Danio rerio: one gene and its partners. The protein of the gene in region 3 purifies or fractionates together with the protein of the main gene of each other region. This does not show direct contact. Links are inferred from orthologs where the notes say so. Each region holds a gene or a part of one and is shown on either strand. Other genes may lie near its edges. The genes, in order: abl1, pdgfrb and nck1b.

Region 1 (3,656 bases), on a different chromosome or scaffold from region 3:
ACGATGTCGCTGATCTCCTTGACGGAGCACAGCAGCTTTGAGAAGTCCTGCGGAGTGTTTGCGGTGCCGGTGGCCGCGGGGCAGATCTGCAGCTCGCGCAGGCTGCTCTCCAGCTTATTGATGGCTTCGCGGAAAGCAAACTTGTTCCGCATCTGCTGGATGGACTCCACGTAGCTGACGCAGTACTTGGACAGATTTTTCCCCGCCTCCAGGACAGCGCTGTGGCTGCCGGTCTGCTCGGAGACACGTGCAATGGCGGTACGCAGGAGCTCAGAGCTCTCCAACAGCATGTCTCGAGTGATGGTGGAGCTGGAGAGTCGCTCTGATGGCTGCCGTGCTGGAGCCTTCCTCAGTGAACGTCGCGTCGTCATCAGTGGGATGAAGCTGGATCCCGGATCCCCGACCACAGGACTGGCTCCCATTCCAGGTAGAGGAGCAGTCGCACCTGCCTTCGAGGGGTTTACCTTTGAGCCATTTTTGGGCAACTTTTTAGCACTTTCTTGGGATAGACTAGCCTTGCCTTGATCTGCGGAGTCTAGTGAACTCTTGACTTTGGTATCTGAAGACACCTCAAAAGTCGGACTCCTTGAGGTCTTTCCAGATTTGGCACTGGACACCGGAGGAGGAGGGGGAGCGGGTTTGGGTTTCGCAAACTTCCCCTTCTCCCGCTCTCTCTGTCCTGGGATTTCAGAGGACAGTTTGAGTCTTCGAGGTCTGCCTTCGTCTCCAAGAGGTGGAAGCACATTGGGTTTTAATACCTCTGTTTGTAAGGCACTAGTTTTGGAGCTTTCTGTTTGGGGTCGGCGGCCTAGCTTGGGAGTCAGAGTTAAAGGACTTGATCCAGGACTAGACTCAGAGTCCTTGAAGACTTCGTCTGAAACATCTTCACTTTTCTTGGGAAGGCGTGGTGGTGGGGTAAGCGTGCCACCTCGTGGCATGCAGCTCTTACGAGGTAAAGCTGGCTTGCCTCTGAATGTGTTAGAATCAAAGTGTGTTGACTGAATGTCCCGCGGCAGGGTTACGGACTTCCATTCGAAGCGATCAGAGCCTGGAGGCATGCTGGAGGAAGAAGAAGATCGTAGGAAGCGTTTGGAGTTTGACATGGAGTCCTCCTCTGGAGGTGGAGTCGTGGCAAGCTTCCCTCCACCACCCGATGTAGTGCCCTTTTTCCGTGGATGAGATGGGAAGAGCTGACCGGGATACACTGGAGCTCCGTTGGTGACCCCGATGGTCGTGGTACTGTTTGACCCAACTAATTTGCAAGGGTCAATGCTGTTTAAGGCATCATTGGTGGAAGACCCGTTGCTGAAATCCTCCCTGCAGTCAGTACCCAATCCTCTACGGTCTAGGTGTCCGTCCATCTTCCCAAAGGAGCTGCTGCGCTTTGGGGGCGCCGGAGCCGTCCTCTTCTTTTTCTTAATATAACTGAAGGGATTCATTCGAAATTTATCCTTATTATCTTTAGACTGGAGCCGATCATCTTCATTCAGGTTGCTATCTAGGAGTGGCCTCGGCATCATCGGGGGTCCAGTGACCTCGGCCTCGGCTGCGTCTGGAGAAAGTTTAGTTCATCAGTACAACTGCTCGATAATAACGAAAATAAGCAGAGGTCTGAGAGAGAAGAGCTTACCGGGACTGTCCCCATCCCTGCCGTCTGTAGGTCTTCGTAGTGTCCTGGTTTTAGTTGGAAGTTCTGGCGCCTGCTGTATTGGTCCCAGGGTCAGCTTCTTTCCTTTTTTCCCCAACTCTTTCTCCACCTCTGCAATGCAACAAGAATGAGGATGAGCCACCAGAGAGGTACAGATTTACAGTAAACTGAATGCATTATTAATGTAAAATAGTGCAGAATGCATAGATAGGGAACATCTGAATCCGTTACTAATTGTAATTTAGAGTTGACAGTAAGACAGTAACCTCAAATCAGACTCCACATGGCCATAAATACACACACATGGTGTTATTATTCAAAACAGTTTGATTAAAGATTTTGAAAGCTCATACCATCAGAGATACTGGACTCTTGAAACATGGTCTCGAACGCCTGATGGGTCTCAGCAAAAGAAGGGCGCTCGGCAGGGTTCCACCTCCAACCTAAAGACAGAAACACTACAGTCATACAGGTTTACTCACTGGGCTCCATTTTAACGATATAAATGCACTTGGAGCAAGTCTGAATCCACTTTTACAATTTTAAGGATGGGAAAACTGGTCTAAAAGGGATGTCCTTACGTCGTTAAAGAGTCATGGGTGTGCTTTGAGTGTAATATGCATTAAACCAAGCAGATTCAATTACCTTTAGAAGCAAGCTTCAATTGCACCAAAGCAGATTTGCCATATAAACAGGGCACAGGACGTTAAAATGAAACCTGCGCTGAGCTGATAAAAGCTAAACAACACTTGCATTGCACAGTGTGCATGATAGGGTGTCACTTTGTCTACTCTTTCTTTCAGAGATTGTGTAGAAGGATCTGCTTACAGGCCCTCATGAGCTCATAGACTTTCTCTGGGCATCCCTCGGGTCTGTCCATGCGGTAGTCTTTCTCCAGCAGCTCATACACCTGAGACAGGTCGATTCCTGGATACGGAGACATCCCATAGGTGGCGATCTCCCAAAGCAGGACTCCAAATGCTGAAGGAGGTCAAATCAGAGGATCAGTTTCTCACACATGCATGTCTGAATGTGGAAAGATGGCTCAGTGGACATGGCGAAAACACTTTAATTAATTATTTTATATTATATACAAATATAATTTTGAAAAGGTAATACCTTCTCCATCAATAATATGCATAGCAATTTATTAATTGTTTATGCATTAAAACAGCATTCAAATATATCCCAACAATGCCTGAAGCCACAAAAACGAGAGGCTCCATTAACTACATTTGCAGTACAGTTTATAAATAACTTGAAAAAAGTAAGACAACTAAATAAAATGAGTTAAATGTTGAGACAAAAGAAGGTAAATGAGAGAAAACACAATGAAAACATAAAACTACTGTAAACATCATTTGTAACAGTGGAAGTGTGTTCTTTTGTCTGTCCATGCGTACCCCACACGTCTGACTTGATGGAGAACTTGTTATAGGCCAGACTCTCCGGCGCAGTCCATTTAATGGGGAACTTTGCTCCAGCGTGGGCTGTGTATGTGTCTCCCGTCATCAGCCGGCTTAGCCCAAAATCTGCCACTTTAACCAGGTTGTTTTCCCCGACCAAGCAGTTACGGGCTGCCAGATCCCTGAAAGATAAACCAGACCGTCAATTCACTCTAATTGTAGTGAAGTCCCACTATAGTCAAGATTTTAGCTGGATGAGGCGGCCAAATATGGATCAGATTTTGGTTAGAAGATCAAGAGTGGAAAAAAGATTCTCGATGATGAGCAACATGGGAAAATCAACAAGCCGGAATCAACAACAAAGCCAGATTACCATTAGATAATTGACACTGGGAAAAGACTAATGTTTGGAGACAAGTCCTGTGCTCTGATGGAGTAAGATTGAACTGTTTGGCCATAACGAGCAATATGAGGACAAAGGGGAAAGCTTACAAGCCTAGCAACACCATCCCAACTGTGCAGTATGGGGGCGGCAGCATCATGTTGTGGGGCTGTTTTGCTGCAGGAGGGACTGGTCCACTTCACAGCATAGATGGCATCAT
Region 2 (3,656 bases), on a different chromosome or scaffold from region 3:
TGCAATAATTTCTTTCTTTCCCTCCTTTATATTAATGAAATTATGATTATACAAGTGCAATCTGTGAGAACAGCACCATGGCAATGGGAGAAAACTGAAGGGATGATGTTGACTTTAAATCGAGGCAGTGTGGCTCATATACTGGACTGTAGGCTCATATATAAAGTCAATAGGAAGCCCGCAGCTTTGGCAGGTGTTTGTGTTTCAGGGGTTTTCTCACGGCTGAACCAGTATCGGGTTCTCAATGAGCTCAACGGGTTTCACGCCGCATTCAGGGCGCTAATGAAAGCAGCACTAGAGGATCATGGGATTCAAACCAAAGTCACTCTGTGTTTGATCTCCACGGGTGCCGCTCCATTCAGTAGGTCCTCATTTCACACATTCACACAAAGAGGCTTTAACACCCTCCTGTCTCACACACACACACACACACACACACACACACACACACACACACACACACACACACACACACACACACACTCCGTAGACATAATGATTTCATACTGCACACATTATATATTCTGTCTTCTTTCCCCAGCCCTACCCTTAAACCCTCATAGGACACACACACATGCGCAGACAGTACTTACTGCTGTTGACCAGTCTGATGTCCCGGGCTCGGGCTCCTCTCTCATTGCTGGCCTCACAGCGGATGGTGAGCAACTGCGGCCGGACCAGCGTCACCTGACTAAGCACCTGGTGGATCTTGCGTGTGCTGTTGTAGGTGACATTAGTCTGGATGGTGACGCTCTCTGGATCCTCCACTAGAGGGCTCCATACAGCACTTCTGTTACTGCACCTAGTGAAAAAAAACAGTGCACTCTATGAATATTATGAAAAATGATGTACAGTTTAAGTAAGAATTATTAGCCCCCCTTTGAGTTTTTTTTCTTTTTTTTTAAATATATTTTTCAAATGATGTTTAGCAGAGCAATGAAATTTTCACAGTATTTCTGATAATATTTCTTCTTCTGGAGAAAGTCTTATTTGTTTTATTTTAGCTAGAATATAGCAGTTTTAAATTTTTTTAATAACATTTTAAGGACAAAATTATTAGCCACTTTAAGCTATATTTTTTCTCGACTTGCTACAGAACAAATCACTGTTATACAATAACTTGCCTAAATGCACTAACCTGCCTAGGTAACCTAATTAACCTAGTTAAGCATTTAAATGTCACTTTAAGCTGTATAGAAGTGTCTTGAAAAATATCAAGTCAAATATTATTTACTGTTATCATGACAAAGAGAAAATAAATCAGTTATTAGTGTAAAGCCGCCAGTCCTACGCTACCCAACTCGCTCTGAGCTGGTATCGAGCCGGCGACCTTCCGCATGGGAGTCGGTTGCTCTACCAAGGAGGCTAAAGACCATGGCCTCTAGCATCTGTCGCTAGAGCACCTTTAGAGGCCAGAAGAGGGAGGTTTACCTGCACAGTACACACTAGCTGGCCTCCGTTACACTCTCCCCCATAAACCTCACTCCCATCCGGGTCACAGCACCAATGTAACCCCGCCAGTCCTACGCCACCCAACACGTTCTGAGCAAGTATCGAGCCGGCGACCTTCTGCATGGGAGTGGGTTGCTCTACCAAGGAGGCTAAAGACCATGGCCTCTATCATATGTCGCTAGAGCACCTTTAGAGGTCAGAAGAGGGAGGTTTACCTGCACAGCACACACTAGCTGGCATTAGAAATGAGTTAGGGGCAAGGTAGTGGCGCAGTAGGTAGTGCTGACGCCTTACAGCAAGAAGGTGGGGTCGCTGGTTCAATTCTCGGCTCAGCTGGCATTTCTGTTTGGAGTTTGCATGTTCTCCCTGCGTTCGCGTGGGTTTCCTCCGCGTGCTCTGGTTTCCCCCACTGTCCAAAGACATGCGGTACAGGTGAATTGGGTAGGCTAAATTGTCTGTAGTGTATGAGAGTGTGTGTGGATGTTTCCAAGAGATGGATTGTGGCTGGAAGCGCATCCGCTGTGTAAAAACTTGCTGGATAAGTTGCCGGTTCATTCCGCTGTGGCGACCCCGGATTAATAAAGGGACTAAGTCGACAAGAAAATGAATGAATGAATGAAATGAGTTATTAAAACTATTATGTTTAGAAATGTGCTGAAAAACATCTGCTCTGCGTTAAACAGAAACTATGTTATGACGCGTTTATCGGTCATCACAATCTTCTAAAAAAATGTACATTTATATGTATTTACGTACGCATTATATTATCTTTGCGTCAAATTACAAAAAACAAATTACCTGATGTGAGAGGTGTTTCTAATGCAATGTCTATGGGGCTGAGAGTAAATTCCAGAAATGTGAAAAGGGTCCATTGCTTCATATAATGCACAGAGTCCACATAGTGTGTGTACTGTACACATAGAGCAAACATAGTACGCTAATATGCCATTAGAACCCATCATTAAAAGACATCAAAAGTCAAATTTGCACTTTTGTTGCAAACCAGAACAAACCCACAGGATAATACACTATACTGAGCTGCTAATATCCAGCAGAGCGCTCATAAGTGCCTCCACCCATGAACAAGTGTGCAGTGACAGGCGGAGGTGTGTGCTAATAGCTGCTTTAGCATATGTGCTGTATTTATTATTCATTCAGCAGTTTGTGTGTGTGTGTGTGTGTGTGTGTGTGTGTGTGCAGCTCTTGGGTGTTTTAATCAGCTCAGCCACAGCGCTTAGATGATGTACAGTCCTCACTCTGCACAGGCTGATGGACACACATCCTGATCAATTACGCTGATGTGTGTGTGTGTGTGTGTGTGTGTTTATATAGTGCTTTCTGAGAGCATGTGCAAACTCATCAGCTTTACATTTACTCGTCTCGCAAACAGCTCACATTAAATATGAATGAGAGACATTAACGGTGGAATATTGTGATAATCTAGTTCACTATCCAGTTTCCATCATTTATCATTTATTAATCCATCCATCCATCCATCCATCTATATATCATTCATCCATTTATCAATCCATCCATCTATATATCCTTCATCCATCCATCAATCTATATATCATCCAATAATACATCCATCCATGCATCCATCCATCCATCTATCTATCTATCTATCTATCTACCTGTCTGTCTGTCTGTCTATCCTCCATCCATCCATCCATCCATCATCCATCATCCATCCATCCATCCATCCATCCATTCATATATCATTCTTTAATACATCCATCCATCCATCCATCCATCAATCCATCCATCCATTCATCTATATATCATTCATTTATACATCCATCCATGAATCCATCTACACATAATTTATTAATCCATCCATCCATGCATCTATCCATCCATCCATCCATCCATCCATCCATCCATTCATCAATCCACCCATCTATATATCATCCATTAATACATCCATCCATGCATGTAACAATCCATCCATCCATCCATCCATCCATCCATCCATCTATCTACCTGTCTGTCTGTCTGTCTGTCTATCCTCCATCCATCCATCCATCATCCATCCATCCATCCATCCATCCATTCATATATCATTCTTTAATACATCCATCAATCCATCCATCCATCAATCTATATATCATTCATTTATACATCCATCCATGAATCCATCTACACATAATTTATTAATCCATCCATCCATGCATCTATCCATCCATCCATCCATCCATCCATCC
Region 3 (3,656 bases):
AGACAAATTCGTTAAAGCAATAGTTGAAATATTAGCGGTTCGAAATGAGTGAACTGATAAGCCAGGAGAATCTAAGGGTACATTCACACAGCTATATGCTAAAAATGGAAAAAATACAGATGACAAAGTGTCACACTTTTAACGTGAAAAACAAGATCAAACCTTTTTTTCTAGTTTACACGGATCTGACTAAAAGTGCTGTATTATGCATGCCCTGCCAATTGTTTTCAATGTTGGTTAGTTTGTTAAGGCTTTTTTTCTAAGTTAGCATTTTTAGGGCTCTCCAAAAATCTCGTGTACATGAACAGCCAAACAAAGCGTTTAAATAATTGTTAAAATTGTGGGTGCAACTCAATCAACTCCCTAACTCCTGAGGTTTAGTAGGTCATTTAGTAGGTTTAGTGCAGGGGTGCCCAAACATTTCTTATCGAGTTACCAAACTAGATTGAGGCTAGTGGGTCATAGGTAAATATAGCTGCCATAATTACTTCCCAATTTAATAAATAGTATTTAAAAATAACTAAAACACATTGCTTTGTACTAACTAATGCAGTATACATTTATTTTCTGTTTTATAATGAACTTACTACAGTAAAACAGTCTCATTTATAACAGAATGGAGATACACTAGTCAGGCTGCACCTGATTTTGCCTTGATTTGCTCGCAGATGTCCTCTGCATTGTCCTCTATTTGTCGCATGATAGTAATTACATTTTTACAAAGTATTTATTTATGTTTTTATAATTAAACATTTAATTTTAGTTGGCTTTTTTGTAGCTCAGCATTAAAACAAACATTCACAAAAGATTACTTTAAACTAGAAATGACAATCTCTGTAAAAATCATTCGCCCCAACCCTGCCCATCATTCACACTCCTTTTTCTGATGGGATGGTGGGCCAAATCAAAGGTTACAAGGGCCAACTTTGGCTCGTGAGCCCTAGTTTGGGCATCTCTGGTTTAGTGGATTAGTAGGTTGTGGACACAAATTTGGCACTGGTAAGAAAAAATAAGAAGCTTGGTTCAGTTCACATTGGGAAACTGAACGTGCCATGAAAACCATCCTCGTTGTACAACATCAACACTGGAATTTATAAACAACATCAGAACTTCGCAAGAGGCACCATGAAAATCGTGGTGCTTTCTAAACAGAAGAATTTTGCAATAAAGAGTCTTAAATATGGGCTCTTCTGGGAATAAACTCCTAGATCATTGCCCTGACTACTGAACAAGAGATCTGATTGAGAAGCACCCTCTCATTCCAGGCACAAGGTAGAACTGACTAACAATTGAATGACGTGAGAATAGAAGTATAAAACTTCTGTCTACTTACCGAGGACTCGCTGTCCCGGATGAGGAAGTCTCCCTCTGAGCCCCTCTGGTTAAGCGCCACCTCTGCTTGGTGGCGTGTCACCTTCCCGTAGTACCACTGCTTTCCTGCGAAGCGGCCGCTGGATGAAGGCTCAATGTAGTCACAGTCAGGTGTGGGTGGCCCCGGCATGCTGGCCGAGTTGTGCGACTCCTGCAGAACAGTCACGTAGTTCTTCGGAACAAGTCCCATCTGCCCATCTGACTTACGACACTTCCACCACTCTGGGTCATTTTCTGGCTTCTCCACTACATCCATAACCTCCCCCTTCTCAAAGTTCAGCTCTTCATCGTTACCCGAGCTGAACGGGTAGAGTGCTTGTACTGTGTGCAGCACACGGTTGCCATTCGCACTTTGAACAACAGCAGACAGTTTGTCTGAAAGTCCAGCAGAATCATTGCTCGCTGATCCATCTGCGTCCTCTGTCACGTAGTTGGAAGGGAACCATCCCGAACGGCCGTTGTAGCTTCCCCTCCACCAGCCATCACTGCACTTCTCCATCACGATAACCCTCGTTCCTTTAACCAACGATAACTCATCTTCCCGCTCGGCCGCATAGCTGAACTTGACCAGCGCAGGGAGGTTAAGGTCATACAGACGTTCACCGTTGTCTGGGTAGAAATCAGAGTCTGCATTGGACGCTGTTTCACGCATGCCTGTTTTCCTTTTCACCTTTCCAATCCCTGCAAACATAAAAAGAGGTACAATTAAGTATTTCACTATTTAGTCCTTTCTTTGCACTCTACTTCTTGGGGTTTCAGCCTAAGATGTTTTCAATGCGTCTAAATAGGTCAGATGTTAACGTTGTGGAAATGAACATGGTGCATTTCCAATGTGGCAGTTGCTGTTCAAGTTTGTTTTATTTGCCATCAAATCATAATCTTTTTAGTAAATTTGTTGCTTCATTCTGGAATTGGCATAAAGGGTACACCTCTGTGAAGAAAACTCCAGGTACTACTTGTCGAAAGTGGGCAAAACAAGGTAGGGCTGTGCAATTAATCAAAAATCTGATTTTGATTTTGCCTTCTAACGATTATGAAAAACCATTAATCAAGATGAACAATTATTCCATCATATCCAGCTACCATAAGTAATCGCTACCTACTGCCTTCTGTTTTTATTATCAATAAAAAACAAAAGGACAAAATCCCTCACTGCTCTTGACTGAAGGACTTTTGTAGCTAAAGTGTTTTTCTTACTGTGAAGATGCTTAAAGCACAGTTTAAACATAACAGATTTAATAACTCATTTCTAATAACTAATTTCTTATATCTTTGCTATGATGACAGTACATGATATTAGACTAGATAATCTGAAGATACTAGTATTCAGCCTAAAGTGACATTCAAAGGCTTAATTAGGGTAAATAGGCAAGTCAATATATAACAGGAGTTTCCTCTGCAGACAATTAAAAATATGAATTGCTTAAGGAGGTTAAAAATAGAGCTATTAAAATAGGTTTCCAAAATTTAAACCTGATTTTTTCTAGCTGAAATAAAACAAATAAGCCTTTCTTGAGAAGAAAAAATATTATAGGAAATACTGTAATTTTAATTTATATATAAAAATAAATTCACAGGAGTGTGAATAATTTTGACTTCAACTGATAACCGTTTTGAATAATCGTGATTATGATTTTTCCCAAAATCGAGCAGCCCTAAAACAAGGTACAAGACAGTGTAATGTTTACCTGCTTCATTGTAAATTTTACTATTGCCTCTAATAGTTGACTACAAGAGTTCCTTTTATAGCAACCAAAAGCTCATTATGACGCTAGCAATCCAATCGCTTTGGACAATCTCAATAATCATTTGCAAATAAGCACCATTTCCATCCAGGGAGACAAAGAGAAAAAATTGGTCACTTCCTGATACACTGGCGTTAAATATCAGAGTTTTCTGCAGTAGGAGAAGCCACTGTGGCCCTGTTTTTCTTATATAATGAACTACTTCCAACTCAGTAGATGAAACTCACTGATTGCAAATTTCACTTAATAGCAACACGTTTAACTAAAGTCATTTTTCAATGAAAACTATGTTGAGACAGTCTCTTCAGGGAGTAATTTCATCACTCCGCACCCTGCACTCATTCCATTCTTGTCGAAATGATCTGTGAAACCAAAGAGCATTGTATTTTGATACAGGCACCAACAGGCAGGGCATGAGTAAAAGGAGAACTTGTCCAAACACATGTTACAGTGCGGCGAGGCTTGTGCGTTCACACTGACAGGGGTACACAGTAGCTATCAGCTCCCGTCTGCTCGAGCAATGAGTCCTCTCTTAGTAAA

Evidence for each region.
Region 1: the proteins of nck1b (region 3) and abl1 purify together in Homo sapiens (affinity purification with western blotting; 3 studies listed by BioGRID). This does not show direct contact. The link is inferred for Danio rerio from reciprocal best matches to the Homo sapiens genes NCK1 and ABL1.
Region 2: the proteins of nck1b (region 3) and pdgfrb purify together in Homo sapiens (affinity purification with western blotting; 3 studies listed by BioGRID and IntAct, with this or other methods). This does not show direct contact. The link is inferred for Danio rerio from reciprocal best matches to the Homo sapiens genes NCK1 and PDGFRB.

Annotation. Positions count from the first base shown.
Region 1 is NC_133180.1:78,533,837-78,537,492, reverse strand, and holds part of abl1 (tyrosine-protein kinase ABL1), read right to left. Parts: intron 3,237-3,656; coding exon 3,052-3,236; intron 2,630-3,051; coding exon 2,477-2,629; intron 2,092-2,476; coding exon 2,002-2,091; intron 1,760-2,001; coding exon 1,631-1,759; intron 1,553-1,630; coding exon 1-1,552. UniProt on the Homo sapiens protein: Non-receptor tyrosine-protein kinase that plays a role in many key processes linked to cell growth and survival such as cytoskeleton remodeling in response to extracellular stimuli, cell motility and adhesion, receptor endocytosis, autophagy, DNA damage response and apoptosis.
Region 2 is NC_133189.1:3,709,082-3,712,737, forward strand, and holds part of pdgfrb (platelet-derived growth factor receptor beta), read right to left. Parts: intron 803-3,656; coding exon 594-802; intron 1-593. UniProt on the Homo sapiens protein: Tyrosine-protein kinase that acts as a cell-surface receptor for homodimeric PDGFB and PDGFD and for heterodimers formed by PDGFA and PDGFB, and plays an essential role in the regulation of embryonic development, cell proliferation, survival, differentiation, chemotaxis and migration.
Region 3 is NC_133199.1:3,531,756-3,535,411, forward strand, and holds part of nck1b (SH2/SH3 adapter protein Nck1), read right to left. Parts: intron 2,053-3,656; coding exon 1,334-2,052; intron 1-1,333. UniProt on the Homo sapiens protein: Adapter protein which associates with tyrosine-phosphorylated growth factor receptors, such as KDR and PDGFRB, or their cellular substrates. Maintains low levels of EIF2S1 phosphorylation by promoting its dephosphorylation by PP1.